Macaca fascicularis: one gene and its partners. The protein of the gene in region 3 purifies or fractionates together with the protein of the main gene of each other region. This does not show direct contact. Links are inferred from orthologs where the notes say so. Each region holds a gene or a part of one and is shown on either strand. Other genes may lie near its edges. The genes, in order: ILF2, NCL, STAU1, RPL14, IGF2BP1, FMR1 and IQGAP1.

Region 1 (4,266 bases), on a different chromosome or scaffold from region 3:
AGTATTTTCTCCTAATCCCTTCCATATGAGCTGACTCAATACTGACCTAGGACTTTAAAAACACTTCATTCTGGCCTTGAATATATGGAAAGAGAACAACTCTTTGTCCCCAATAAAAATAAGAATGCATATGTAATTTGTTTATATATTCACCTGGCTATCTCCACCCACAATGAGAAATAAGGAGAACAATTAAACCCTCTGTGGATTTCAGGCTCTGTTAACACCATTCTTAACCTTACCAACAGTTACTCTTTACCAATACTTTTACCTGCTTTAGAGACATTTCTGGAAGACAGCCAAAAGAACATACCTGTTCAGCAGAATTAGGAGCCAGGTCCTGATTCCTCTTCAGCAAGGCCTCACTGAAGGAGGTTTCATCAGGTGCTGGCTTGACCCGGGGGAAGGCCATTTCACACTAAACCAGAAGTAAACAACTACATTCCATTTGCCGAAAATAATATACAGGAGAGATTGTTTTTTCTATTACTACGACAGAAAAAGGTTAAAAATAGAAAATTCTACACTTGTTTTTACTCCTTAATTTGTTCAATTAGCTGGGCATGGTGGCTCACGCCTGTAATCCCAGCTGAGGTGGGAGAATCCCTTGAACACAGGAAGCGAGGCTGCAGTGAGCCAAGATCGTGCCACTGCACTCCAGCCTGGGCAACACAGTAAGACCCTGCCTCAAAAAAAAAAAAAAAAAAATTTGTTCAAAGGCCAGGCATGGTGGGTCACGCCTGTAATCCCGGCACCTTGGGAGGCCGAGGTGGGCAGATCGCTTGAGGTCAGGAGTTCAAGATCAGCCTGGGCAACATGGTGAAACCCCGTCTCTACTAGATACCCAAAAAACAGCTGGGCATGGCGCCTATAATAGCAACTACTTGGGAGGCTGAGGCAGGAGAACTGTTTGAACCTGGGAGGCAGAGGTCCTGATTCCTCTGCCTCCCGGGTTCAGTGCAGTGAGCCAAGATTGCACCACTGCACTCCAGCCTGGGTGACGGAGTGAGACTCTGTCTCAAAAAAAAAAAGAAAAAATGTTCAAACAAGGATACAAGCTGGAATAGCCATAATTTAAGCTATCACTATCTTTATAGTAACAAATTAGCCATAGATACGATTACTTGTTCAGAACAAAGATTATAATCATGTTTAATGCCAACAGTAGTCAAGGAATTATTCTCCCCACCATGCTTACACTGTTTCTGTAGGTAAAGCAACACACAGTTGACTCAAAACCCCAAGTCTTTTCAAAAATCACTTTCCCCCTCATTTCAATCACCATTTTTTTTTTTTTTTTTTTTGGTAGTGGTGCCATCTCAGTTCACGCAACCTCCGCCTCCCGGGTTCAAGCGATTCTCCTGCTTCAGCCTCCCAAGTAGCTGGGATTACAGGCACACGCCCAAGCAACTTTTTTATTTTTACTAGAGATGGGGTTTCACCATATTGGCCAGGATGGTCTCAAACTCCTGACATCAGGTGATCCATCCGCCTCGGCCTCCCAAAGTGCTAAGATTACAGGTGTGAGGCACTGTGCCTGCCCTCTTCAACCACTATCTAACTTCATTAACTGGGAGATACTAGGCTCCATTTCAAGAATGGCCAGAAATTGTGTATTATTAACCCAAGGTACTCACCAAATAGAAGTCAAATGGGATATGTGGTACAAAGGGCCTGAACCTAAAACATGAAAAACAGCCAAATTATTCCCTATGTAGGAATCAAGTGAGATTTAAATAACACCAACAATTTTGAAAACATGTCAGACCTCAGAATGAGTGACAAAGTCTCTGGGGAGGGAGAGAATCATTCTTAGCATAGTGGGGCCAAATTCATTTAGCAGGAGTGCGGAAAAGACCACAGTTGGCTCTCACAAAACCAAGTGACATTAGTCTATTCCAAAACTCCTATTTAGATGACAAGCAGAAACTAACAACTAAGTGCAGAGATGCTAAAAGCTGGCACTCACCCTCCTCCTGGGCCTCCTCTGGAACCAAAGCGCCCACCACGACCACGGCCTCTGTCACCCCTAGAAATGCAGATTTTATTTTGATCTCATTGAAGGAATACCCACCGGCCATGTCATTTTAAGTTGGCTACTTTCATCCCTCGGAACCTCCCAACGGTAGGCAAGAGACCCCACTCACACACTTCTCCCCATTCCAAATGGTGCCCAGTTACACCCCCATAACCTCCTCATTCTGGATAAGTTAATCACAACCCCCCATCAAGTAATGATGGGGCTCAGACAGTGAGCCCTACACGAAATAACCCATAATCCTGGGCCACACGAATCCTAATACTTCGGAAGCTAAAGATTGCTCATTTCTTCATTAACGTACACATTTATCGGGCATGTCCTGTATGTCAAGCCCTTCGCACTGAGGATGAATGCGGCTCGCTCCAGCATTCTCAGCCCGGATGACGGGGACGGAGGGAAGGTGGGGAGCTCCTCCGTGGACTTGAGGACACCTCCTCATCGCAACCCTTCAAAGAGAGGTGTCGAACCCGCCTCCCCACTCCTGGGCCCCGGCCCCAACCCCATCCCGGGCCCGTTTCCCCGCCTCTACCGGCCTCACTCTCTCCCACTCTCCTAGACCAGGAGTTCTCAGGTTTTTGGCCAGCTCCCGGATACATGGTCCTTTTAGGTACTCCGACTTCTTTCGACCCACGTTCCCAAAGTTTTCCGTCGAATACCTGAAACCTTTCGACCACTTCGACCCCCTTACCTCATGGCGCCTTAAAACACGAACAATGGAGGCCGCACCAACCGCCCCTTTCCTCTGAGGAGCAGACAACTGAAGAGGAGTCTTGCCGGCGTGTCCCAATAAAACCCGGCGTGATTGGCTCCCGCCTTACCCCATCGCTTATGCCTATTGGCTTACTTTGTCAAACCGGGCTTATGAACCAATAAAAAACGCCTACTGTGTCAGGAACTAGCCAATAAGAACTGGTTCTATAGTAATGACGAATTTTTGATCAGACATTAGGTGGCACTGAAGAAGTCAGGACAACGACTACGTGGTCTTCTATAACAGTTATGAGAACGTTGGCCTTCAGATAGCAGAGTGGCGCAGCGGAAGCGTGCTGGGCCCATAACCCAGAGGTCGATGGATCGAAACCATCCTCTGCTATCGGAATTTTTTTCATTGCCCTGTACCGTACACGTAATTTACATTACATTCAGTGAATGAAAATACCTTGCCGATTTTCCTACCCCAAAAACGCAAGCGGTATCAGCCATTTTTGCCACTAGCAGTTGAAGTTGATGGGGAAAAGGGAGTTTAGGCAACTATGAACACTACACGTCTACAAACTCGAAGCAGGAGAAACAGGTTTCAGATAGGAGGAGTATATTGATTGAATTAATGTGGAAAACAGGTGTTCCACCCGCCTCAGCCTCCCAAAGTGCTGGGATTACCGGCCTGAGCCACCGCGCCCGGCTTGGTTACATAAATTCTTTAGTGGTGATTTGTGAGATTTTGGTGCACTCATCACCCGAGCAGTATACACTGAATCCAACTTGTAGACTTTTATCCCTCATCTACCTCCCTTCCATACGTACTTTTTTGATATTTAATTTACTACAGCAGAACGTAAACATCTTAAGTCTAAACGTATTCTGTCCACATAACCACCATCCAGATTTAAATAAATGTTATTAATTTAAAAAAAAAAAAAAAAAAAAAGGGCCGGGTGCGGTGGCTTGTGCTGGCGGGCACTTGTAATTCCAGTTACTCGGGAGGCTGAGGCAGGAGAATCTTGAATCCAGGAGGCGGAGGTTGCAGTGAGTTGAGATGGCGCCACTGCACTCCAGCCTGGGCGATAGAGGGAGACTCCGTCTTAAAAAAAAAAAAAAAAAAAAAAAAATCTTGCTTGAGGTTTGTTGAGCTTCTTGAATCAATGGCTTGAGGTTTGTCATCCATTTATATAATTTATTAGCTATTATATCTTCCAGTATTAGTTTTACCTATTATTTCCCTCCTTCCTGAACTCCAAAGACGTATTAGACTTTTCCCCCAGTAATCTCTTTGTCTCTTACCCTCTCTTCTATTATTTTATTTGTACACAGGGTCTCACTCTGTTGCCCAGGCTGGAGAGCAGTGGTACACCATCATAGCTCACTGCAGCCTCGACCCCCTGGGCTCAACAGACTCTCCCATTTCGGCCTCCCCAGTAGTTGGGACTACTCAGAGGCACAGGCCACAACACTCTGAGCTAATTTTTTTTTTTTTTTTTTTTTTTGGAGATGGAGTCTCCCTCTGT
Region 2 (3,979 bases), on a different chromosome or scaffold from region 3:
CAATCCCCGACTCCCCGGTTCATGCGCCTCGGTCTCCCAAAGTGCTGGGACTGCGGGCCTGAGCCACCGCGCCCCGCCTGAGGTGATTTTTAACAAGTACAGCCGTAGCTGCAGGTATCCTGGTTCTGTAGGAACAATGAGGTATGGATGGATCCATACCTGGACCCATGGATTGGATGGATCCCAGGCAGGCCCTGGACGGAGGGAAATGCTCTGTTGCTAAGCCCGGCATCGAGGGAGGCCCACCCTCAAAGCTAACCGTGGAAGTCACTCCGGCCTCCTTCGCCCTGCCGCCGGGGAACCCTGCCGGTGGCTCTCGACCTGCTCCCGAGCCATCTGGTGACACTGACTTAGCAGCCACCACCTTAATTGGCGCATTCGACGCAAATAACAACCAGGGAACCTGTGGGCGGTCAAAGGCCCGGCTTTGCGGTCGGCCCGCCCAGGCCCCTCTCCTTGCCCTGTGAGGCCAGAAAGTTACTTCTCCGAGGCCGTTCCCCATGACGAGAAGTATCTCCCGCCTGAGGTTCTGTGGGGTAGGGGAGGTTCGTGCATTTCTCACAGAAAAACCTCGCACAGACCCGCGACTGCCTTTATTAACGGCTCTCAGAAGGCTGCCTGCAGCCGGGGGTGTCTCCAGTCCCATGCTCGCGGGCAAGCAGGGCTGAGCTGTGCCTCCGAAAGGGCCAACGGGAACTCCGCGGTCCCTGAACTTCCGGGGCTGGCGGGCTTCTTTCTCCAGGGCCACCGGGAGCCCCGGCGTGAGTGCGTGCCGGGGCCGCGCGCGGGGTCTTTGAGGAACTCCAAGGCTGCCCGAGCCTAGGGAGCCAGCCACATTGGAGATCCCTAGACCGCCCGATTCCACCACCCCCGAGGTCCCCTCACAGCCGGCGCCAAAAACGCCAGTCCCACGGCGCAGGCCGGGACCCGCGCGCCCACGGCCCAATCAGCGCCCGCCTTGCACAAAGCGAGCCCCGCCCCCACGGCACGGCTGCCAGCCCCTCCCCCTCCCGTGGCCGCCTCGGCCCGCCCACTCCCCGCCCCGCGCCGTTCTCGGTTAGAGGCTCGCGATTGGCTCAGGGGGACTGCCGCGAGCTCTGGTTGGTCGGCACGGAGTCACGAGGGCGCCGTCGTCGCCTTTCCACAGGCGATTACTGGGCAGGCTCAGTCTTTCGCCTCAGTCTCGAGCTCTCGCTGGCCTTCGAGTGTACGTGCTCCGGGATCTTCAGCACCCGCGGCCGCCATCGCCGTCGCTTGGCTTCCTCTGGACTCATCTGCGCCACTTCTCCGCTCCACACTCCGCCGCCATAAGCCGCCATCATGGTGAAGCTCGCGAAGGTAAACGGCCTTGAGCGCGAGCGCAGACGTCTAGGCCTGCTCTCCGAGGGGCGAGCGCGGCGGCGCGGGGAGGAGGGCCTGCGCGCAGTCCCGGGCGCGTTCTAGGGCGCCATGCTGCGGGAAGTCTCGCGCGATTAGTGGGGAGGTCTCGCGGCTTCTGGCTAGTTGGTGGCGAGGTGAAGAGCTTCTGCAGGTGCTGGGGGCGGCGAACGCGGCGGGAAAGACGGAGTTACTGAGCGCGGGGAGGGGGCGCTGGGCCCCGGGGTGGGGAGATGAGACCAAACTCCTGCGACGCATACGAGTCGGGACCCGACTCCTGACGCACGTGCCCGGGTGCGCGGCCTGCCACGTGGGCCGCGCCGCGTGGGTCCTGGAATCTCCAGAGGCACCGGTGCCTTGCGCCAGGAAATGGCGGTATACGTCCTAGTCGGAGTCCTGGCCTGGCAAGCCGACACGTGGTGGGCCCCGGAAGGTGGCTCTGCCGCGTGCCTTTTGCGCCGTGTTTCGGGCACGTGGTGGCCTACCAGGTACCCCCACGTGGCCGCGCCGCCTCTTTAAGGGGCGGGGTTGTCTTGCTGGGAAAAGCATAATGTTCATGAGAAAACCAAGGTAGTTACTTCTTACCTTCGGGCGGGTTTTCTGTTTGTGAAGCCCGGGAGGAAAATTGTGGGCGGTTGAGAGTAGTCCATCTTGCATTGCCATCAGGACTCGTTTTGATGTTGTGCTGTTTGGCACTATGAGAAATGGATCTGAGAAAGGAGAGATGATGGCGTTTTACTATGAACAGTAATGGCAAAATATGAATGGCCTGAAATGTTGAGGTGGAGGTGTAATGACCTACTTGTGTCCATTTTAGGCAGGTAAAAATCAAGGTGACCCCAAGAAAATGGCTCCTCCTCCAAAGGAGGTAGAAGAAGATAGTGAAGATGAAGAAATGTCAGAAGATGAAGAAGATGATAGCAGTGGAGAAGAGGTAATTTTATCTAGCTTAATGCAGAATTGTGTTAAAACTACAACAATGGAGAGTTAAGACATGAAATTGGATGTCTGTGGCTAAAATAAGATTTTATTCATCCAGGTATGTCCTATTGTAGTGGTGGTTTCACAAGCTCTTCACTGACATGTCAAGGTGTCATTTGGCTAAGTATTTGAATGTGAGTTTGAGACAAGAGGTCTGGGGATCTCCTTTCCATGTGCCTCTGCAGGGCAAGGAGTGTGATTTGTTGTGTTAAATCATTAAATTTTTCCAGTTTCAACATGTTAGCCTCACCCCGACATGTAGAGCTGGGCATTGTATTCAGATCTGAGGATAACCTTCCCAGATTCCTTTCCTAGCCTCCAATTAAGATTAATTGGTCTCCATTCCATTATATATAAACTTTGTAATTCTACTCACTGCGTTATAGTTATCTTTGGTGTAGACTGAGGGCTGCCACCTCTTTGTGTTAACATTGACCCTCTTTACTCTTTGGCAGTCCTGGCCTTTTATTTGCTCACTGTAAAGACATCTGAGCACTGAATTGTGCTCAGGTTTCTCGTTGAGAATTGAATAAAAGTTTTATTCTTCCACACATTGCCTAATAAAACTATGGGATTTTCATGTAGCTAAACGATGGCTTTTATCAAACTAACATGCTCACTCTTTGATGTGTGATAGTTTTGTAAGGGATAGTTATGTTTAGCCTATTTGATCTTCATTTTATCTCAGGTCCCAAGAATTGAGCTTCACTGGACTCAGTACTGCCATCCACCATAGGAGCCCCAAATGATTTAATACGTTAATGCTTGGAGCCTCCTAGGTGTAAGGTTCTGAATAATTTACGCATAGCAATTCATTATTGTTATACGTGTAATATGATACTATTACCATTTTCAGATGAGAAAGTTGGGGTTTGGGAAAATATGAGGTGCAAGAATTCAGAGGTCTGGTTCAGAGGTATTTTAAGTGTTCAAAAGGGTTCCTTATGGCTGGGTATTCACCTGATAATAAGGGCTCTGACCTAAGACAACATAACAGAAGCCTGGAGTTTAACATGCTAACATGTGTCTAGCGCATGTGGTCTTGAACCAGAAGCATTGCCAGAATCTAACACTCACTGGGACCATGGTTATCCTTTTGGGTGTGGGGCTGGACTTACTGGTTTGGTTTTCATTTATTCTCAAGGTTGTCATACCTCAGAAGAAAGGCAAGAAGGCTGCTGCAACCTCAGCAAAGAAGGTGGTAGTTTCCCCAACAAAAAAGGTTGCAGTTGCCACACCAGCCAAGAAAGCAGCTGTCACTCCAGGCAAAAAGGCAGCAGCAACACCTGCCAAGAAGACAGTGACACCAGCCAAAGCAGTTGCCACACCTGGCAAGAAGGGAGCCACACCAGGCAAAGCATTGGTAGCAACCCCTGGTAAGAAGGGTGCTGCCATCCCAGCCAAGGGGGCAAAGAATGGTAAGAATGCCAAGAAGGAAGACAGTGATGAAGAGGAGGAGGATGACAGTGAGGAAGATGATGAGGATGATGAGGACGAAGATGAGGATGAAGATGAAATTGAACCAGCAGTGATGAAAGCAGCAGCTGCTGCCCCTGCCTCAGAGGATGAGGATGATGAGGATGATGAAGATGATGAGGATGAGGATGATGACGATGAGGAA
Region 3 (3,456 bases):
GGCCTATCATGTATTTTTCTTATTACGTTATCTTCAGAGACACTGTTTTGTTGTTTTGTTTTGAAACAGAGTCTCACCCAGTTGCCCAGGCTGGAGTGCAGTAGTGCGATCTTAGCTCACTGCAACCTCCACCTCTTGGGTTCAAGCGATTCTCCTACCTTGTCTCCCAAGTAGCTGGGATTACAGGCGCCCACCACCACACCTGGCTAATTTTTTTGTATTTTTAGTAGAAATGGGGTCTCACCACATTGGCCAGGCTGGTCTCGAACTCCTGAGCTCAGGTGATCCGCCCGCCTCAGCCTCCCGCAGTGCTGGGATTATAGCGTGAGCCACCGCACCCCACCCAGAGACATTAATTTCATGCATGCATGATGTCCCATCAAGTAAATACACCACAGTTTGCTTAGATTTGTTAATCTGATCAATTCCTTTTCTGAGTTTTCTTTTTTTTTTTTTTTTTTGAGACTGAGTCTTGCTCTGTCGCCCAGGCTGGAGTGCAGTGGCCGGATCTCAGCTCACTGCAAGCTCCGCCTCCCAGGTTTACGCCATTCTCCTGCCTCAGCCTCCCAAGTAGCTGGGACTACAGGCGCCCGCCACCTCGCCCGGCTAGTTTTTTGTATTTTTTAGTAGAGACGGGGTTTCACCGGGTTAGCCAGGATGGTCTCGATCTCCTGACCTCGTGATTCACCCGTCTCGGCCTCCCAAAGTGCTGGGATTACAGGCTTGAGCCACCGCGCCCGGCCCCATCTCAGTTTTCTTATAACAGTAATTTCATCTGAATAGAACACCAAAGCAAGTGGTTTTTACAGCTGCCAGAACATGGACCTGCAGTTCCTTGTTCTGGTGAGAGAGGAAGTGAGTGCAGTCTCCAGGTGAGCTGCAGGATCCCAGTCGCCCCTCCAGACCAGCAGGGAAAAGGGAAAGGTGGACTAAAGCTGATGAGTTCTGATCAAGAGTGAGAAATCAATCCAAGCAGTTATGACAAAAAGTCTTAAAAAATATGAACACTATCAAAGAATTAATTGTTCTCAAAGTCTATGGGAGAATCTTTCTCCCACATTCCTCAGGCTAGTAACAAGCTGAACCAAGGCAGGCTCCACATAAACACACAACTTAACACCCTAATCCCTCACCCAAGGTGTGACATACCATATCATGGCAGGACTCCACATCCTTGCCGATACCATGGCTGATCAGAGGTGGCTGAGAGGAGCAATTGATAAGAGATACAAATTCGTTCTTGTTGTTTTTGGGGAAGTCTTTGTATTCAACCTAAGGAGGAAAAGAGAGCTGAGGTTAGGTAGGGTAGGGAACAGCAAGTATGAGTGGGCTGAAGGGCTACAGCTCCGGGCCCCACAAGCAAGGAGATCACCCGCTCTTCTCTCCAACTCAGCCTGACTGTGGCTATACCAAAACCTGCTCTGTCAGCCCAGAACCTTCCAGGAACCTAGGTGTCTGCTCAGAAGCCCTAGACTGGGAGAAGCCATATCCTTTCCCACCAGGCAGAAGGTGTCAGCATGATGAGTCCGTTCTTTGAAATCCAAATTTACAACACTGCAAGTGGTTAGAAGCTTTGTTTTTAGGGTTGGCTTGCATTTTGAAATATTACTAAAGGATAAAGATGTTTCTCTTACCACATATGCTTACAATACTTCTATACCTCCTTCCCTGCCACCCTTCCACCACTGCTCCCCAACCCATCCCTGATTTAAGAAACAAAGTCCAAAGTTCATTTTCTGAGAGAAGCCAAAGGATGACTGTCCTGAGGCACAGCCATCACAGCTCAAGCCTGACAGTTACCTGGAATCCCTGGACTCTGGAAAGATAGTCCAGTTGTTCAGAGGGTCTCGTGAGAGGTCCATGGGGTACGTGGCCTGAAGAGATGTTATTCTTTAAAATGGTCTCGGCTGTGGGCGAGGTGCCCCCATACAACAACTCTCGGGCTATCATGGCAGTTACCGTGGCCTTGGCAGGATTTGGAGCTGCCCTGGTAAAATCTTTGGTGTGATGTCCTTGACTAACTCCTACAGCCTGGGCGACCTCGGGCACCATGGGAAGAATTCCAGCAGGCAGCTGCTGATGACTTAGGTAAGGCATCCTGAACTCATCCTCTTTATTACCTGGGAGGGACACACACGGTAAACACGAATCCACATCCACAGCCTGGAAAAACGCGATGACACCATCAAACCCCACGCTGGCCCTCCCCTTGCCATGCATGGCGGCGCAGGGAATCGGGGAATGATACAGACACTTTGCATGCAGGACCTCACTGGCTGGACTCCTGCTGTCATTCAGGACCCATGCAAATCCCAGAATCACGTTCAGAGGAAGATGATATTAAGATCACACTTACTAGTCCCATTTTCATCCCCAGAGCCAGGTTCAAAAAAGGTTACTTTTCTTCCATCCCCTGGTTTCTTTATGGGTGTCTTAAAAAAGAAACAAACAAACAAACAAACAAAAAGGCCATGAGCATAAATCAGATCATTGAAAAATTAGCTCCTGCTGTCTAAACCTGCATAAAATCCAATCAGCAATAACTGAGGCAATCGGCAGAAAAACCCTGCCCCACCTGACCACTGGCACGCTGACAGACACCTGGGCAGAGCCTGCCTCCTTCTCCTAACGCACCCTCCTGCCCACACCCCTGCCCACAAAGAGCATCTAACAAAGTGCACTAACCTGTGAATGCTGAGCTGCACTCTGCACCCACAGGAAGACGGGAAGCATTTAACCAGAAAGAGCAGAGATGCTAGACGGTAGAGCCCACCAAAGTGGGGAAAGAAGCTTTCAGACTGAAGCTAAACAAATAAATCAAGAATATTTCCTGGAGCTGATATCCAATTAAAAAATAAGGTGACATTCCAAAATTAACACCCTTATGGGGAAAATGTTATTACCTAAGAATTCTGTCAAACACTACCTCACCTTTCTACGAAGTAACAAAGGACACTATGAATGTCCTATAAGATTCTGAAATGAAAAACTCAAAATCCAAGTCTAAGATCTATACTGGTGGTATCTGGGGTCTCAGTCAGTTATTAACTGGCCACGACTGAAGCTGTTTCTCACTGTCAATACGACTGGCAGACATCAATGAATTAGGCTTGATTTCAAGTTTATCTCACCAGGACCATACAGTGACGGGAAAGAAGATCAGCCTTGGCTTTTGCCGAGGTCCTGCTTACCACTTCTGGCAGACAAGAATTTTTCTTTTTACGTTCCTTTTTTGTTGTTGTTGAGACAGGGTCTGTCGCCCCGGCTGAGTGCAGTGGCATGATCATGGCTCACTGCAGCCTTGACCTTCCAAGGCTCAATCCTCCCACCTCAGCCTTGTAACTCAGACTACAGGCACAAGCCACCATACCTGGCTGATTTTTAATTTTTTGTAGAGACAGGGTTTCATGCTGCTCAGACTGGTCTTGAACTCCTGGATTCAAGGTCTCAGCCTCC
Region 4 (4,104 bases), on a different chromosome or scaffold from region 3:
CATTCACTCAAATAGCTGGGACTACAGGAGTACACCACCACACCCGACTAATTTTTGGACTTTTAGTGGAGATGGGGTTGGCTAGGCTGGTCTCAAATTCCTGGCCTCAAGTTATCTTCCCACCTTGGCCTCCCAGAATGCTGAGATTACAGGAAGGAGCCACTGCACCCATCCAAGCCATTCATTCTCATAACAAACAAAGTAATTAATGTTAACTCTTAGGCTCTTTAAAAAAAAATTTTATGGTAAAAATTTGTGGCCAAACATCCTAAAAATAAAATCCAAGGTGCTCCGGAATCCAAGGCAGAATTACAAGAGTACCTAGTGAAAAATCCAAGTTACCAAGTATTTTCTACTGCTTTGAACTTTGACAAGTATCCTCAAGCTTCACTCCTAATTGTGCTGCAAACAATGCGGTATGTCACAGTAGCAGCAGCACGGCTATGTTCACTCGAGGCTATTCAAGTGGCATGAGGGGACCACCAGTACTTCCATTATGTGTTAATACACGTACTGCAATGTCTGCAGCACTCAGCATACAGCAAGTTTTTGACTATTTTTTAAAGTATGCAAAATTACATTATTTAGATCTACTTTATCTGTAGTGGCCACGTGATAGTACATGTTCCACTGCAACCATCACTGTGAGTTGAATTAACTGTACAGCAACACACTAAAGTGTTTTAATTTTCATGTCAAAAAAGAACCGCTATTCACCGTCTCATTTAAATGTAAGCTAGGGATAAAACCTTTCATGTTAAATACTGTGTAACTGACACACACTAAGAGCTCGCCTAATGATAGCTAGTATCAAAAAACCTAAGACTTAGTATTTTTGTTACTTTAAGCTAAAAGTTGGGCAGAGACCAGAAGAAAAGAGGATGGCAAGTCTAAACAAAGGCAAAGCCCTAAACTACCAGGGTAGAAAAGTGACTTTAAGGCATTTATTTTATTTATTTTCAAGACAGGGTCTCACTCTGTCATCCAGGCTGGAGTGCAGTAGCATGATCATGGCTCTCTGCAGCCTCGACCTCGCTAAAGTGATCGTGCGAACTCAGCGCCCCCGCGGCCCCCCGACCTGGGATTACAGGCACGTGCCACCATGCCCAAGAAATTTTTTTGTATTTTTTGTAGACAGGGGTTTCCGCCATGTTGCCCATGCTGGTCTCGAAACTCTTGGGCTCAAGAGACCCTCCCATTGTGGCCTCCAAAGTATTAGGATAACAGGTGTGAGCTATCACCCCCAGGACATTTTAAAAGTAAATAATCTCTGTCTACTTCTATAACCTAAATCCCTCTTCAGGATGGCTCGGAATCTTCCATATTGTTTACTCTAAAACAAACTTTTACTAGTATAAACAAATCTGGGGATGGGAGGGAGGAGTGATGATTAGTGGATAGTTACCTGTGTGGAAACTTGAGGATGAAATCAGTGAGCTGCATGCACTTGAAAGGCATGGCCTGTCTCCTCACTTGAGTGCAAGGTCCATCGACCAAAGCCTAGAACACAAACATCAAGAACTTCAGTGCAAAATCTAACAGCAATTAAAATGGTCAGATGGTTCTGTAAAATTACTTATCCGTTCAGGGCCATCAAACCCACACTACTATTTAAATAAAGTGCTCAGAAAAGACAAGGATTGTCCTATCTGGGTCACGTATGTTTACTTCTTTTGCTCAACACAAACATTTCTCCACACCGTTAAATGCTCCTTTTTAAACTATTAGTACCCAATAGAAACCAACCACATGTAATTTACAGGCAACTTTAGGACTCTGATCCCTTTTCATTTATAGCCAGTGGTCAACTTCTTAGTTTGCCTGTCTCAAATACACAGCAGTAAATACAAAAGTGCTTTCTATGTGTTGGATCTGTTCTAAACTCACTTTATGTATAGTAACTCATTTAAAACTAACCAACTTTTCAGTCCATAACTGGCTCTACCTTAAGTGGCTAACACTTAAATTCAATACTAAGAGCTAATTTTAGACTGTGCTTACAACCCTTACCATTACCTGTTTCCTCAATGGTAAAATAAAGCTACCACCCACAGCAACCTCACCTTACACAGCCATCGAGACAATTCATTATTGTTAACTGCAAAGCACATGTCCACTGCCATGTTTAGTAAGAAGTTGTGACACTTACCCTGTTCTGATCAATAACATCTACAATCGCGACCAATTTTCCGGCATGAGGTCCAAAGGAGACATAGGCCACCCGGCCAACCTCCACGAAGCGCCTGAACACCTAAAAGTGGGGGAGAAAGGGCAGTGAAACTTACTTATAAATACTTACTAGATATGTTACCTTCTACAGCTAAAGACGACATGGTTAAATTCAGCGAAAAGGAATGCTGCAGGGGAACACCCGCCCGAGCGCCAGGCGCCAACCTGGATGGACGAAATCGGCAGACGCCTCAGTAGCTAAAGCCCGCTCCCACCGCCACCGCCTGCCAGCTCTCAGTTCCGCAAGGCCCAGGCGGCGGGCGGGACAACGCTCTCGGACCCCGAGCCGCCTCAGCCGTCCAGCTCCAGCGGCGGAGGCGCGCAAGCGTGGCCCAAGGCGCGCCAGGCCTTGCCGGGCCCTCCACGCGCTCGCCAGCCGCGAGTCCGGGAAGGGTCAGTTTCCGGTGCACAGCCGGCCCGGGGACCCTCACCATGCGGTTCCCGGGACCCTCTGGGAGCCGTTCGGCGCCTCAGCTTCCCAGCAGAGGTGGAGGTCGAGCTGCATGGTCGCCAGCCCCTGAGCCCGCATCAGTAAGACTCACCATGTTGGCGGCGTTAGGCGAGAAGGAAGGAGGCCCGCCCAACCGTGCGCATGTGTAGAAGAACGCACCGCCCCTTCGGTAACGAGACGCCGACGTGGGCACCGATTGGTTGGTGCGTGAACCCGTGCGTGCGTAGGCGCAGCTCGCTGGAAAAACATGGCGGAGCCGGCTGGAGCCGAATTGCTTTCTGGCAAAGTTGGGCGGCGAGATTGTCTTTGGTGATTTGGATTGGAGAGCTGCAGGAAGATCATCGCTTAGTAATTTAGGGTTAAGAGTACGGAAGCTATGTCTTCCGTTGATCGCATGCCATTTGACTTCCTTTTTATTTCCCCCAGTTTTACTTGTTGGTTATTCATGGCTTAGTACTAAGCCTGTTCGCTCCTCACGTTCTCTCCCTAATCTCAGTAACTTTGTTAACCTTTCATTTTAAAGTAACTCACACTTACAGAAATATTGCTAAACTAGTACAAATAATTCCCATAAGCCCTTCTAGATTCCACAAATGTTACCGTTTTGCACGTGCTATATCATTCTGCCATTTGAGAGGACATTGCCGACATGATGTCCTTTTATCTCTACTTTTTTTTTTCTTTTTTTTTTTTTTTAAGACGGAGTGTCGGTCTGTTGCCCAGGCTGGAGTGCGGTGGCGGGAACTCGGCTCACCGCAACCTCCGCCTTCCAGGTTCAAGCGATTCTCCAGCCTCAGACTCCCAAGTAGCTGGGACTACAGGCGCGCGCCACCATGGTGGGCTAAGTTTTTTGTATTTTCAGTAGAGACGGGGTTTCACTATGTTGGTCAGGCTGGTCTCTTAACTCCTGACCTCGTGATCTGCCCCTCTTGGCCTCCCAAAGTGTTGGGATTACAGGCGTGAGCCCCCGCGCCCAGTGTTACATTCTTTTATAGAGACAGGGTCTCCCTCAGTCGCCCAGGCTGGAGTGCAGTGGTGTGATCACGGTTCCCTGCAGCCTCTAACTTCTGGGTGAAGATGATCCTCTTGTCTTGGCCTTCCAAAGTGCTGGGATTACCAGCGGGAGCCACCATGCCCAGCCTATGTATACATTCTTAAAATGTGTATTTCCTAACAACAAAGAGATTCTCTTATGTCGTCAGTACACTTATCAAAATCAGGAAATTAATATTGCAATAGTACTGTTATCTAACCTGCAGTCCTTATTCAAATTTATAAGTTGTTGCTCCTATGTTCTTTGGAGCAAATGGGGAAAAAAAATTTTTTTCCAGGCTCTTGGTCTAATGGAGGATTACAAATTACATTTATTTATCAGGTCTCTAGTCTTTAACTGATAGTTTTAGATTTAACTCAAATTTGTAAAA
Region 5 (3,932 bases), on a different chromosome or scaffold from region 3:
GGCCAGAGACTATTCTGAATTGTACCAAGTTTTCAGTTGAAATGGGGGGTGAGGAGGATCAAAGATTTACTGGGAGCTGCTTTTCAACTTGGGACATGAGAGCAAACTCTACACTGTCAACATGTTTAAAGTCTGATTTGAGAAAAGTGGAAAGACTCTGCCCTTACACTTCCCAGCCAGAGTTCAAGGAAAGATTTCAGAGTTCAATGCAATATTTGAAATCCACCATGAATTCTCGGTAAGCATGATGGAGGTACCCCATTTTGCTGAAGAGAGAGAATAGAGAGAGGGTACTGGAACACACACACACACACACACACACACACACACACACACACCCCATTCAATTCATCCACGGAGTTCTAGACCCTCCAAAGAGCCCCAGCTCACAGCCTCAACACAAAGCTCTCACCCCAGATGGTCCCCTTGTAACAATGGGCTGAAGGAGTGGGGGTAGGGGGGCTCGAAAAGGATAGTACAGCCAAGGCATATTCTTTGGAAAATCCAGTTGGGAAGAAGGATGATGTGAGATATGAGGGATTGGGGGTGGGGGGGTCCATGGAAAATAAAGTCTTTGCCTGTTGCAGAAATATAAATAAAATACAAGCATAAGGGGATTCTTTGGAGGACGGGAAACTGATTCCACATCACTTAGGAGTAGAAGGGCAATCCACTTAAGAATTATGGTGTGGAAAGAGTGGGAAAAACAGAAAATGAGGCCTGCTACGAAGTTGCAGAAATCGCCCTGAGTCTGAACTCTTCGAAGATTTTAAGGTTCACCACAAAAAACGGCCCCACAAGTTGAACAAACTCCAAAAGGTTTCTCCCCTATTGATTTTCTTTCCCCTTTAATTCTACAAGCAACATCTTTTAGCCCACCCCAGCCCCAACTTATTTTTTTTTACAAGCTGTAAACCACCCATTACAAGATCTTGGCCAATCTTCCCTCCCTGCCCCCAACATCCGGAGTTGGGGGTGGGAAAGACCAGTAATGGGTTTCTTCCACTGGAGACGCTATGGACCCCTGAACACAGCTTCTCAGCACACCCCCGCGGCCCCCCCACCCCCCCCAGAAAAGAGCTCTTTCCTACCTTTGTTTTTTGGGCACCGAATGTTCAATCTCTAGGCGTTTTCCTTGTAATTCTACTTTCCCTAAAGATTAAAAAAAAAAAAAATTACCATGAGAGCGTGAACAGGGGTTGGGGGTGGGAAGAGGAAGGGGAAAGACACTAGGCTAATTCAGGAGTTACTGGGATTCGAGATCTTCCTAGGAATCCAGGCAGTGGCTTCTGCAGCCAGATGGGAAAAAGGTTGCTCTAGGAATGGTGGAGTCTATAAATTCGTTATTATTCATTTTTTAATTTTTGCTTTATTTAATCACTGAGGCTCGTTGAGTGGATCGCTCTGGAATCCCGATTTGGGAAAGGTGCGAGGCCATTTGTGTGGTTGCGCTGCCTACATTGCTCCCAGATGTGGGGAGAAGGAGCTAGGAGAGAAAGGGCTCCCCGTTCCTCAGAAAGTGGGGCGCGGGGCGGGAGGCGGTGTACAGAACGAAACTTTATTTTTCTCTGTTGGCCAGGAAGAAGGGCTTGGAGCCGCGGAGCGGTCACCTGTCGGGACTGGTTTGGGAAGGGGTGGACCTGGGGGAGCGAAGCGGGGCCCGGCGGGGAGGGTGCCTGGCTGCCGCCGCGCGCGCCTCTCGGCCCAGCCTCGGCGTCTCGGGAAGCAGCATGGCGACCCGGCGCCGCCGCCGCCGCGCCACTCCGCTCACGCCCCACTTTCAAATCAAAATGGCTCAAGCCCCAGGCCCTAGGCAGGAGGCAGGACCCCCTTCCTTGCAAGTCCTGCTAGAGGGCTGCATTCCCCACGCTAAACGGAGAGATCGCAAGCGGTCCGGGGGACCCCTTCCACGCCTGGAAAGGCCTAAGACTGAGGAAGGAGAGCCAGGGTTTTCCAGCTGGGGGGCCGTCCACCGGCGGACAGGGAGGGGCTGGACGTGGAAATAACGCCCAGCCGGGGGTCATCTCCGTGTCCCTAAATCCACCCCCCCACTACTGCCAGTGGGGGCTCCCGCCCCGTCGGTGGGGAGGAGGGATGGGGGAAGCCAGAGCTGCTTATCTCGGGCTGGGAGGAAGGGATGAGGAAATCCCGAATGTTTCTGCGCGGGGGTGGGGGGCGCAGAGCGAGGGAGGGGGCATCGAAGGGGGTAGGTCGAGGTTGGGTACAGAGGCCAAGCCCCGCAGGCCCGGGAAGAGAGGAGTTGGCGGGAGAGGAACCGGAAGGTGCGGGTCTCCGTTGTTCGGGGCTTTCGTTGTGGCTTTTCCGGGAGGTGGCTGTGCTCTTACCGGAGAAAGTTTCGATGGCCTTCATCGCCCAGTGCTCGTCTGGGCAGTCCACGAAGGCGTAGCCGGATTTGACCAAGAACTGGCCGCTGTAGGAGATCTTGTGCTCCGCAAACACTTTCTCCAAGTCCGCGGGGGTCACGCTCTCGTTGAGGTTGCCGATGTAAAGCTTGTTCATGGTGGCGGTCTCGGGGCAGGACGCGGTCCCGGGCAAGGCCAAACGAGTGGACGCGGGCGGCAAGCCTCTTAGGCCGAGAGGCGGGGAGGCCGGCGGCAGGAGCCGCAAACTTTCTTTGCACCCCACCCCAGAAGTTGTCCCGAGCCCAGGGCGGGGAAGGCGGCCTGAGGGCGCGCAGAGGTCGCGGGAGAGTTCGGGGAGAGCCCGGGAGAAGTGCCCGCGGCGCGCAGGGAGACGGACGACGCGGCGCAGCTCCTTCCCTTCGGTCCGAAACCCCTCCGAGAGGGCTGGTGTGTCACGTTTCTCCGCGGCCGCCCTGGCGCCGCCTCTAAATAAAATCGACTTGAAAAAAAATGGAGCGGAAAAAAAAAAAAAAAAAGGAGAAGCCACGTGGTGACAGCCCCCACCCACCCTGCAGGGGAAGACCCCCGACGCCACAGGGCCCCTCGGCCCTCCGGCCAAACCCAGCAATCTCCCGCCTGAGGGTGGGGAACTCAACTCACCCCCGTGGTAAACTGGGGCGGTGGGGCAGCGTCCCTGAAGCTCTATGGCCCCTTCCCCCTTTGCAAGAACCTGGCCCCTAGGGAAGCGCCCCGCCCCCACCCATCCCCCTACCCCAGCCCGAACTGGGGGAGGATGGTCCAGCCCAGATCTCCCAGGTCTTAAAGGGTAAAATGTACGGTTATTTTTTATTCGTTTTGGGGGGCGGGGTTGCTCACCCCACCCCGGTTAACTGCTAGCGACTGACAGGCGGGGGACGGCCGAGATAGACAAAGAGAAGCCGAAGACTCTGGGGTCTTCAGGAGAGGGTCGCACGAGCTGGTGATTTAAAAAGAAAGCCACCTTTTCCCTAGATGTTTAAATGGGGGGGTCTCTGCCTTCACCACCCCAGCCCCACTAAACTCCCCCGCCTCCGGGGATGCACGACCGGGGGACCCTGCGAGCGCGGGACTGGGAAGCTGGGAACACGGGGGATCCCAGTGGAGAACGAGGAAGCCGCGGGAAATCATGTTTTGAGATCCCCACGGGAGAAAGGGTGGTTCGCACCCGGGGTCCGGCTGTTAAATGATAACGTTACGGGGTCCTGGGGGAAACTCGCGGAACTGGCCGGAGATGACCCCAGGAGAGAGGGACAGTGGGACAGAAAGAAGAGGGGTGATAGCTAGGGCTAACCCGAGCGAACCGAAGGGGGAGGTCTTAGGGAGGGAGTGACCGGGTGGAGATTTGAATGGTCCCCTTTTCCCTCCGAGTCGGGGACAGACAGGTGGAGTTTCCAGCGCCCGCACCACCCAGGACACTGCTGGCAGCTCTCTGGGCCCTAGGTTCGGGTCTCGGAACTTTGTTTGGGGTGCAGGATTCCGAACCCGGCGGGAAGGCGGGAGAGGGACGGAGGGCGGGGGGCTAAGCGCGAA
Region 6 (4,170 bases), on a different chromosome or scaffold from region 3:
GCATAAAAGTAGTGGCTCTGGTGATTGCTAAATCTAACTTTTAAGTTTTTAAGAATAAACACCAGAAGATAGAGAGATGTCCTTGGAAATATGGTGGTTATGTCAGGCGAATCAAAGTCTGAATTCAATTATACTCAAGTTGTTTGTTTAGTTTTTAAAGCTTTTCTATCAATTTGATGAACAAGGTTCCTATTTCTTTTTCCATAAATGTAACACTTATCCACAGCAGTTCATTTTTAATTGGTTTATATTTCACATCTTTCCTGTCCATCCCACTGGACAAGTAACTCAGTTTACTTTTGCTTTACTTTTTAAACTCACAGCAAAATTATAAGTCATATAAAAATTGCAAGCTTTTTTGTTACAGAAACTATTTTTCCATCAGTACAGACCATTTGAGATTTTCTTAGAAATCAAACTTAATTAAATAAACGTAACAGCAATTTATCTGACACACACTTGATCAAGTATTACATTTCTCCTCAGGGAACTAAGGGGCAACCAACCTATTCTTCATTCACCTTCAAGTTAAACAACTTCGTTACAAAACGAAACAGAAAAGGAGGAAATTAATAGCAAAATAGGAGGTATTTCTTATATTCCAGTCAGTTTGCAAGCAAAATCACTGGAGCAAATCATAAGTTGCTGGAAGAGAACAGTAAGTACTTCAAGGCCATAATGTGCTACTTGCCCTCTGTGGTAAGCAAACTTTAGTGGCATCCAATCTAAGTTTGTATCACAGATCAATCAGAATCTTGCTTAACCATTAACCCTTACTCACACATATATATGTATATATATTATAGTTATTAGTGCCAGAAATCTAGTGACCAAAACCACTAATCTAGGACCCTGAACGATTCTACGCAAACTCACCAGAAGAAATTATCGATCAATGAAATTAAAACTTTGCAGAGTCAACTGAAACAATTTTATATTTATGAGAGTGTTAAGAACATAAACGTGGGGTTACCTTTTGCCTCCTTTTACAGCAAAAGGTTTTAACTCTGTGCTCAAAGTATGGAACGGTTTACATACTCTACTCATTTATGAAATATACTCATCTCCAAATGTCTTCATAAAATTGGTAAACACAGAATAAAGTCAATTGTTTATTTTCCTATAGCCAAACGTGTCCTGTTTGAAACATTCAAGTCATTCTATAATACATTTAAGAATTGTGCTGGACACTGCTTCCTTCCACATGCACCTTCTATTGCCAAAATACTGTAGTAAGGTGGGATATTATTTCAAGAGGTTATAGACGTTCAAAAGGAAATGAGAATCTATAGATTAATAGATCTACAGCAACTACGTACCAACAAACGCACAACTGCTACATCAAATTTGTAAATCTTCTTTTTAAAACTGAAAGGTGTTAGTTGATCTGCAATGGTGTAACTTTATAAAGTACAGTAAACCCATGAATGCCTATATAAGGCCTCAACAACTCAGTACAATTCAGTCCACTGCAACACCACAAATTCAAAGGAAATGTGGTCAAGTTCTTAGGGGCACAAAAATATTTTCGCTCAGTTAAAAAAAAAAAAAATGCCCTATTTATAATATACTCTCAGTTAATTTCCTGAAGTTTCATGGCATATATTTAGGTCTTTGGAAACTTAAACATACACACAAAATTTTTAAGTAGCAGAGTTGCTAATGGTTTTAGACGCTGAAGCATGTGCATTCCTGAATATATCCCGTTTAACAAAAAGGGGGGCGCGAATATTCACGATGATCAACTTCTTCAATGCATTGCTGGGCCATGTTCTGAAACTTTTGGTTCTAAAATCTCCTCCGAAATCCACAAAGAGAAGCCACTAAAAATCAGTTGCCATTGTGATTTGGTGCCGACTACCGCTTCTTACTACTCTTTCTTCACAGCCCTCGCCCAGAACAGTGGAGCTCTCCGAAGTCCCAATGCTAGACCGGAAAAGAGAAGCCAAAGGAGACCTGAAACCCTCTTGGCGCTGCAGGAGGCGGTCCGGCTGAAGCGTCCCCCGCTCCTCCACAACTACCCACACGTCAGGCCCGGATCCCGCTGGGAGAAGATATTTAGGAAAGGAGGAATAAGCCGTCGCCGTCACTTAGCGCCGATTTCGGCTCTTCCCGCCCGGCTCTAGTACCTGCCGTCGGCCCTCGCCCATCCCCATCTCACCCCGGCGGGGCTCGGCGCCGAAAGGGAACCCTCTCCTCGCTGGTCTCTCATTCCGATAGGCGCTAGGGCCTCTCGGACTCGGAGCGGGGCTCGAGGGTCTTCCAACAGGCCCCAAGTCCAGTCCTTCCCTCCCAAATAACATCCCGCCGAGCGTGCCCTGGCACGGCGCTTGGGAAGAGGGCCCCGGGCCTGCCTCCCGCCGACACCAAGAAGAAAAGGGAGGGAAGGAAGGGCGAAGATGGGGCCTGCCCTGGAGTCAAGTACCTTGTAGAAAGCGCCATTGGAGCCCCGCACTTCCACCACCAGCTCCTCCATCTTCTCTTCAGCCCTGCTCGCGCCGGGAGCCCGCCCCCGAGAGGTGGGCTGCGGGCGCTCGCCGCCGCCGCCGCCGCCGCCCGCCGCCCGCCGCCGCCGCCGCCGCCGCCGCCGCCCGCCGCCCGCCGCCGCCGCCGCCGCCGCCGCCGCCGCCGCCGCGCTGCCGCACGCCCCCTGGCAGCAGCGCCTCCGTCACCGCCGCCGCCCGCGCTCGCCGTCGGCCCGCCGCCCGCTCAGAGGCGGCCCTTCACCGGAAGTGAAACCGAAACGGAGCTAAGCGCCTGACTGAGGCCGAACCCTCGGCCCGCTGCGCGTGTAAACACTGAAACCACGTCACGTGATCAACGCTGTTCCCTCCCCCAGCGGGCTCAGCCCCTCGGCCCCGCCCTCTCTCTTCAAGTGGCTTGGGAGCGCGCGCATGCGCGCTTCTGGGAACCGTCCGGGGATTCGGGTCGAACGTCAGAGGCGCTGGCCGGGCGTGCGCGGGCTCGGCGGAGGGCGGGAAGGCTGAAGGGCGGTGACAGGTCGCACCGCCTCGCGAGGGCCGGAACGCCCATCTCTGCAGAGGTGCACTCAGTGGCGTGGGAAATCAAATGCATCCGGTTATCCCAGTTCGGCCTCGCTAGGATTCCCGGGGGATGTCTGGTTTGGTTTGGTTTGTTTCAAAGTAGCGGAGAGCCCGACTGAGCGGGAGGTGGAGTGGAAGGCGAGAATAGGGGTGAAGGATTAGACAGAAGAAGACTTTGAACTAGGAACGGTGGCAACCAGGGTGACCCAGGCTTTTGTGACCTGTAGAGGCAGAGGGTGAGGAGTCACGCCCTCTCTCACCAGATTTTGGGTGGCCCTGTGGAGACACCCTGTGCCCTTTAAGGGACATGGATTGAGTCAGGACCTCAAAATGTTAGCCTTTTCTCAGACCCAGCTTTGACCCACGTACTCACCTTTCCTCAACTAATTTTCATACTTTTCACTTGACCATATATTTTTTAAAAATTGGGTTAAGCACTTGAGGTTCATTTCTGCCCCTACTCTATGTGCACCCTGTACCAGAGGGTGGGGTGAACACGTGTGTAGCAGTCATGCGTCCTGTCTACAGGGGCCGATGCACCTGCTTGCAACCCTTTACCTTCTACTGTGAAACAAACCTCAACTTTTTCTTATTCCTGTTTTGCACCGTGCTTATAGCTGCCTTAATCCATGTTCCCTTCGGGATGCTGGTACCCAACTGAGAAGTTTATGTACCTATCATGTGCCAGGCACTGTGCTAAGTGCTAGCGAGAAGTCGGTGAGCAAAACAGAAAAGAAAAAAAAAAGAAGAAAAGACTGCCAGCATTGAACTTAGAACCTAGCAAAGTAGATGGACATAAATCAAATTATCAGGCAAGTAAATGAGGAGTTGCAGCTGTGATAAGGGATATGAAGAATAGGTGCTTCCATGATGGCGGAACATGACCCAGTCTGGGGTGGAGAAGGGGAAATGATTCCAGCTGGAATATGGCAGGTGAGAGTTAACTGGTAGCACTGCGTTGGCCGAGGCAGGATGACCTGCCTCAGGCAGCTGCCCCAGAATGAGAGGATGTTGCTGCTGGTGGAACTCCAGCTTTAAAGCAGTGGATCTAGGGCCACATTCCTCAAGACCATAGTAAACAGGAAAGACCTTTTGGACTAGAGTCTTTGAAGTAGTCACATGAGGC
Region 7 (3,500 bases), on a different chromosome or scaffold from region 3:
TTTAAGTACCTACATCAAATCAAAATGAGAAAAAAATTTCAAGCTACTGAGTGGACTTACAATTTTGCAATGTCAGCATGTGTACTTATGCATTTTGTTCAAGTCCAAGGTATCAGCTCAATTTAGTGGCAGCACTAAGTGGAAGCTTCAGATAAATGTTTTCTGAAGATTTACATCTGCAAAAGCTCTCCAGAGTGTACACACCAAACCAGACGTGCTGCAACACTCAGCTTCTTTCCCCACAGTGTGGAGCCCAGCTCACTGCTGAATGTAGACAGCTTTCCTCAGATGAGTCTCCTCTTTATCTAGTTCTCCTACTTGGACAAGAATCTCATCCAGAAAGCTTTTGGTTCCTGCTGGTGCATACCCACCTGATAATGTAACATAAAAGTCTCCATTTGAACTCCCATGAATTTGGCTTTCACTTCAAAGTCTCCAACTTCTTCTGTTGGACTGATTTCAAAGATAACATTTTTAAACCTGTTGAAAGATAACATCGTAAGGGTATGGTTTTTATGTTCTTATATAAAAATATTCTGTGAAATGGGGAAAGGAGATGAACCAAGTCTTCAAGGGTGAAAAGGGGTAGAAAATACAGGTCAAAAGTACTTCTGCACCTGAAGCAGCACGGATTGCCATGCCTAAGTACCATCTGCTCTGGGACTTGGAGAGAGGAATGGCAACCTCTCTCTGCCTGCAGCACTTGCATTCTATAAAAGAAGAACCACTGAGGAGTGCCACAAGTGGCCTGTGAAGGGATGACATCATAGTAATTCTCTTCACTTCCACATGGCCAAAAATGAAACCTAATGATAAAAGGAGAAAACAGGAAACTGGGGTGGAAGGAGATGGTATGTGTGTTTGAATACATGCATGTTTGAGGACTGGGAGAAGTAAATAAACAAAAGGGGGTCAGTAAAAAAAGCTCCAAGGGAGGAGGTTTTTCTAGAAAGAGTAGGTGCTGTGTACATAAGCACACTCAGTATTACCAAAGATAAATTGTTATTATTAAAAATATTTAAGTTATCACTCATTCACAACATGTTACCTGCCAGGAAATTTTAGGAAGCCAAAAGGAAAAGGGGTTATGCAGCCGGGCACGATGCCTCACATCTGTAATCCCAGCACTTTGGGAGACCGAGGCGGGTGGATCACAAGGTCAAGAGATCGAGACCATCCTGGCCAACATGGTAAAATCCCGTCTCTACTAAAAATACAAAAATTAGCTGGGTGTGGTGGCATGCAACTGTAGTCCCAGCTACTCAGGAGGATGAGGCAGGAGAATTGATTGAACCCGGGAGCCAGAGGTTGCAGTAAGCTGAGATAGTGCCACTGCAGTCCAGCCTGGTGACAGAGCAAGACTCTGTCCCCCCCAAAAAAAAAAAAAAAAAAAAAAAGGATTAAGGCATCCTCTGGGTGATCAAAGTATAGCACCCCAGATTTCCAGAACTCAACTATGGAGCTACCTTACCTATTACAAACAGGGCTGAGAACCATGAAAGATGCAAAAAGGTCACTGAGAGTTAAAGGAAAAGTCACAAAAACCCATGCACTGAAACATACATGCATTTTATTCAACTGGAATGCCTCACGGGTTATTCCTTAAAGATATTTATCTTAAGTGATAAATAATTTTATCAGATTTAGTTGGCTATTTAGTTTCTAAACCCATAGAAGCAAATTAAAAAGAAGAAAGAAAGGCAAATAGAGGTAGGCACTTGAACAGTAGTGGAAAATAATGACAAAAAGAAGGGCAATATTGACTCATGCCTGTAATCTCAGCACTTTGGGAGGCCAAGGCAGGAGGACTGCTTGAGCCCAGGAGTTCAAGACCAGCCTGGGCAACAAAGTGAAACCCTGTCTCTACAAAATATAATTAGTTGGATATGGTGGCACATGCCTATGGTCCCCGCTACATGGGAGGCTAAGGTGGGAAGATCTCTTAAGCCCAGGAGGTTAGGGCTGCAGTGAGCTGTGATCATGCCAGTGCACTCCTGCCTAGGTGACACAGCAAGACTCTTTCTCTAGAAAAAAATTTAAAAATTATGTACCCATTAAAAAGGATGCTTTCAATGAATATAAAAAATGCTCACAGCATAATGTTATAAGAAAAAAGTTGGATACATGACCATAAACAGTATTGTCCCAGTTTGTGTTAAAAAATATTAAGTAGTTATTTTAGGCTGGGTGCAATGGCTCATCCCTATAATCCTCCCAGCATTTTGGGAAGCTGAGGAGGGCAGATCAGCTTAAGATCAGGAGTTTGAGACCAGCCTGACCAACATGGTGAAACCCTGTCTCTACTAAAAATACAAAAATTATTTGGATGTGGTGGCAGGCACCTGTAATCCAAGCTACTTGGGAGACTGAGGCAGGAGAATCACTTGAACCTGGGAGGCGGAGGTTACAGTGAGCTGGAGGTTGCAGTGAGCTGAGATTATGCCACTGCACTCCAGCCTAGGCTACACAGAGAGACTGTTCCCCCTCCAAAAAAAAGGCCTGTAATTCCAGCACTTTGGGAGGCCGAAATGGGAGGATCACGAGGTTAGGAGATCAAGACCATCCTGGCTAACACGGTGAAACCCCATCTCTACTGAAAATACAAAAACTTAGCTGGGTGTGGTGATGCATGCCTGTAGTCCCACCTAACTGGGAGGCTGAGGTGGGAGAATTGCTTGAACCCTGGAGGCCAAGGTTGCAGTGAGCTGAGATCGCGCCACCATACTCCAGCTTGGGTGACAGAGAGACTCCGTCAAAAAAAAAAAAGGGGGGGGGGGGAGAAGAAGAAGAACAAAAAAAATATATATATAAAGTAGTTAGATAAATAAGTGGGTGAGTTGTGGATAATCTTTATGTGAATAGAAAAAAAACACATTAAAATGATTTCCCTGGTTATCTCTGGCTTGTGAAATTACAGGTGTTTTCTTTTTTATGCTTTACTGTATCTTCAAAGTTTAATAATGAATACATATTATTTTAGAATCAGAAAACTGTAAAAGTTCTTTTTTTAAAAGTTTTTTTTTTCCCCAGACACAAGAAGGGAAAGATCAGTAGCCTGAGGTCACAGGGCTGACTGAGCAGAAGCTTAATAAATGCTTGCTAATGAGGCTGGGCCCAGGATCTATGCGAGGATGACATGTCAGGTCCATGAACCAGGTGCAAAGCAAGCTGATACTTCCCAGAAAAGAAAATGAAGGTTAAGTGCCTGGTTCCTAGCTGTAAGTGGAATAAAGCAAACTCCTCTTATTGTTACTCTTAATTTATTCTTGGTTCAGAAACAGAAGAAATCCAAGGAGTGGCTTCCTGCTTTAATGATGAAAAATTAAGATCAGACCCAAAGAAGTGAACATGACCTGAGACAAAGGTTCTACAAACAAGGAAAAGAAAAACTCTTTTATGACAAATTAACTCTGAGTATGAGGCCTAATTCTACACATAAAAATATATAAATACGTAAAAAATATTAAAAGTAACCATCCAGAAAAGAGAAATAAAGACAA

The links.
Region 1: the proteins of STAU1 (region 3) and ILF2 purify together in Homo sapiens (affinity purification with mass spectrometry; 3 studies listed by BioGRID). This does not show direct contact. The link is inferred for Macaca fascicularis from reciprocal best matches to the Homo sapiens genes STAU1 and ILF2.
Region 2: the proteins of STAU1 (region 3) and NCL purify together in Homo sapiens (affinity purification with mass spectrometry; 4 studies listed by BioGRID and IntAct, with this or other methods). This does not show direct contact. The link is inferred for Macaca fascicularis from reciprocal best matches to the Homo sapiens genes STAU1 and NCL.
Region 4: the proteins of STAU1 (region 3) and RPL14 purify together in Homo sapiens (affinity purification with mass spectrometry; 4 studies listed by BioGRID and IntAct, counting the BioPlex papers as one, with this or other methods). This does not show direct contact. The link is inferred for Macaca fascicularis from reciprocal best matches to the Homo sapiens genes STAU1 and RPL14.
Region 5: the proteins of STAU1 (region 3) and IGF2BP1 purify together in Homo sapiens (affinity purification with mass spectrometry; 3 studies listed by BioGRID and IntAct, with this or other methods). This does not show direct contact. The link is inferred for Macaca fascicularis from reciprocal best matches to the Homo sapiens genes STAU1 and IGF2BP1.
Region 6: the proteins of STAU1 (region 3) and FMR1 purify together in Homo sapiens (affinity purification with western blotting; 3 studies listed by BioGRID and IntAct, with this or other methods). This does not show direct contact. The link is inferred for Macaca fascicularis from reciprocal best matches to the Homo sapiens genes STAU1 and FMR1.
Region 7: the proteins of STAU1 (region 3) and IQGAP1 purify together in Homo sapiens (affinity purification with mass spectrometry; 4 studies listed by BioGRID and IntAct, with this or other methods). This does not show direct contact. The link is inferred for Macaca fascicularis from reciprocal best matches to the Homo sapiens genes STAU1 and IQGAP1.

Annotation. Positions count from the first base shown.
Region 1 is NC_088375.1:107,500,966-107,505,231, reverse strand, and holds the start of ILF2 (interleukin enhancer-binding factor 2), read right to left. Parts: upstream 2,801-4,266; 5' UTR 2,735-2,800; coding exon of another isoform or gene 2,730-2,734; 5' UTR 2,411-2,729; coding exon 2,343-2,410; intron 2,030-2,342; coding exon 1,970-2,029; intron 1,681-1,969; coding exon 1,638-1,680; intron 438-1,637; exon of another isoform or gene 419-437; coding exon 314-418; intron 1-313. UniProt on the Homo sapiens protein: Chromatin-interacting protein that forms a stable heterodimer with interleukin enhancer-binding factor 3/ILF3 and plays a role in several biological processes including transcription, innate immunity or cell growth.
Region 2 is NC_088386.1:127,382,824-127,386,802, reverse strand, and holds the start of NCL (nucleolin), read left to right. Parts: upstream 1-1,179; 5' UTR 1,180-1,320; coding exon 1,321-1,338; intron 1,339-2,194; coding exon 2,195-2,311; intron 2,312-3,502; coding exon 3,503-3,979. UniProt on the Homo sapiens protein: Nucleolin is the major nucleolar protein of growing eukaryotic cells. It is found associated with intranucleolar chromatin and pre-ribosomal particles. It induces chromatin decondensation by binding to histone H1.
Region 3 is NC_088384.1:105,179,368-105,182,823, forward strand, and holds part of STAU1 (double-stranded RNA-binding protein Staufen homolog 1), read right to left. Parts: intron 2,433-3,456; coding exon 2,357-2,432; intron 2,121-2,356; coding exon 1,801-2,120; intron 1,273-1,800; coding exon 1,150-1,272; intron 1-1,149. UniProt on the Homo sapiens protein: Binds double-stranded RNA (regardless of the sequence) and tubulin.
Region 4 is NC_088376.1:103,299,984-103,304,087, reverse strand, and holds the start of RPL14 (large ribosomal subunit protein eL14), read right to left. Parts: upstream 2,801-4,104; 5' UTR 2,775-2,800; coding exon of another isoform or gene 2,772-2,774; 5' UTR 2,664-2,771; coding exon 2,661-2,663; exon of another isoform or gene 2,395-2,660; intron 2,252-2,394; coding exon 2,150-2,251; intron 1,501-2,149; coding exon 1,406-1,500; intron 1-1,405.
Region 5 is NC_088390.1:57,718,337-57,722,268, forward strand, and holds the start of IGF2BP1 (insulin-like growth factor 2 mRNA-binding protein 1), read right to left. Parts: upstream 2,801-3,932; 5' UTR 2,521-2,800; coding exon 2,346-2,520; intron 1,153-2,345; coding exon 1,092-1,152; intron 1-1,091. UniProt on the Homo sapiens protein: RNA-binding factor that recruits target transcripts to cytoplasmic protein-RNA complexes (mRNPs). This transcript 'caging' into mRNPs allows mRNA transport and transient storage.
Region 6 is NC_088395.1:153,966,523-153,970,692, reverse strand, and holds the start of FMR1 (fragile X messenger ribonucleoprotein 1), read right to left. Parts: upstream 2,801-4,170; 5' UTR 2,477-2,800; coding exon 2,426-2,476; intron 1-2,425.
Region 7 is NC_088381.1:75,033,894-75,037,393, reverse strand, and holds part of IQGAP1 (ras GTPase-activating-like protein IQGAP1), read right to left. Parts: intron 481-3,500; coding exon 372-480; intron 1-371. UniProt on the Homo sapiens protein: Plays a crucial role in regulating the dynamics and assembly of the actin cytoskeleton.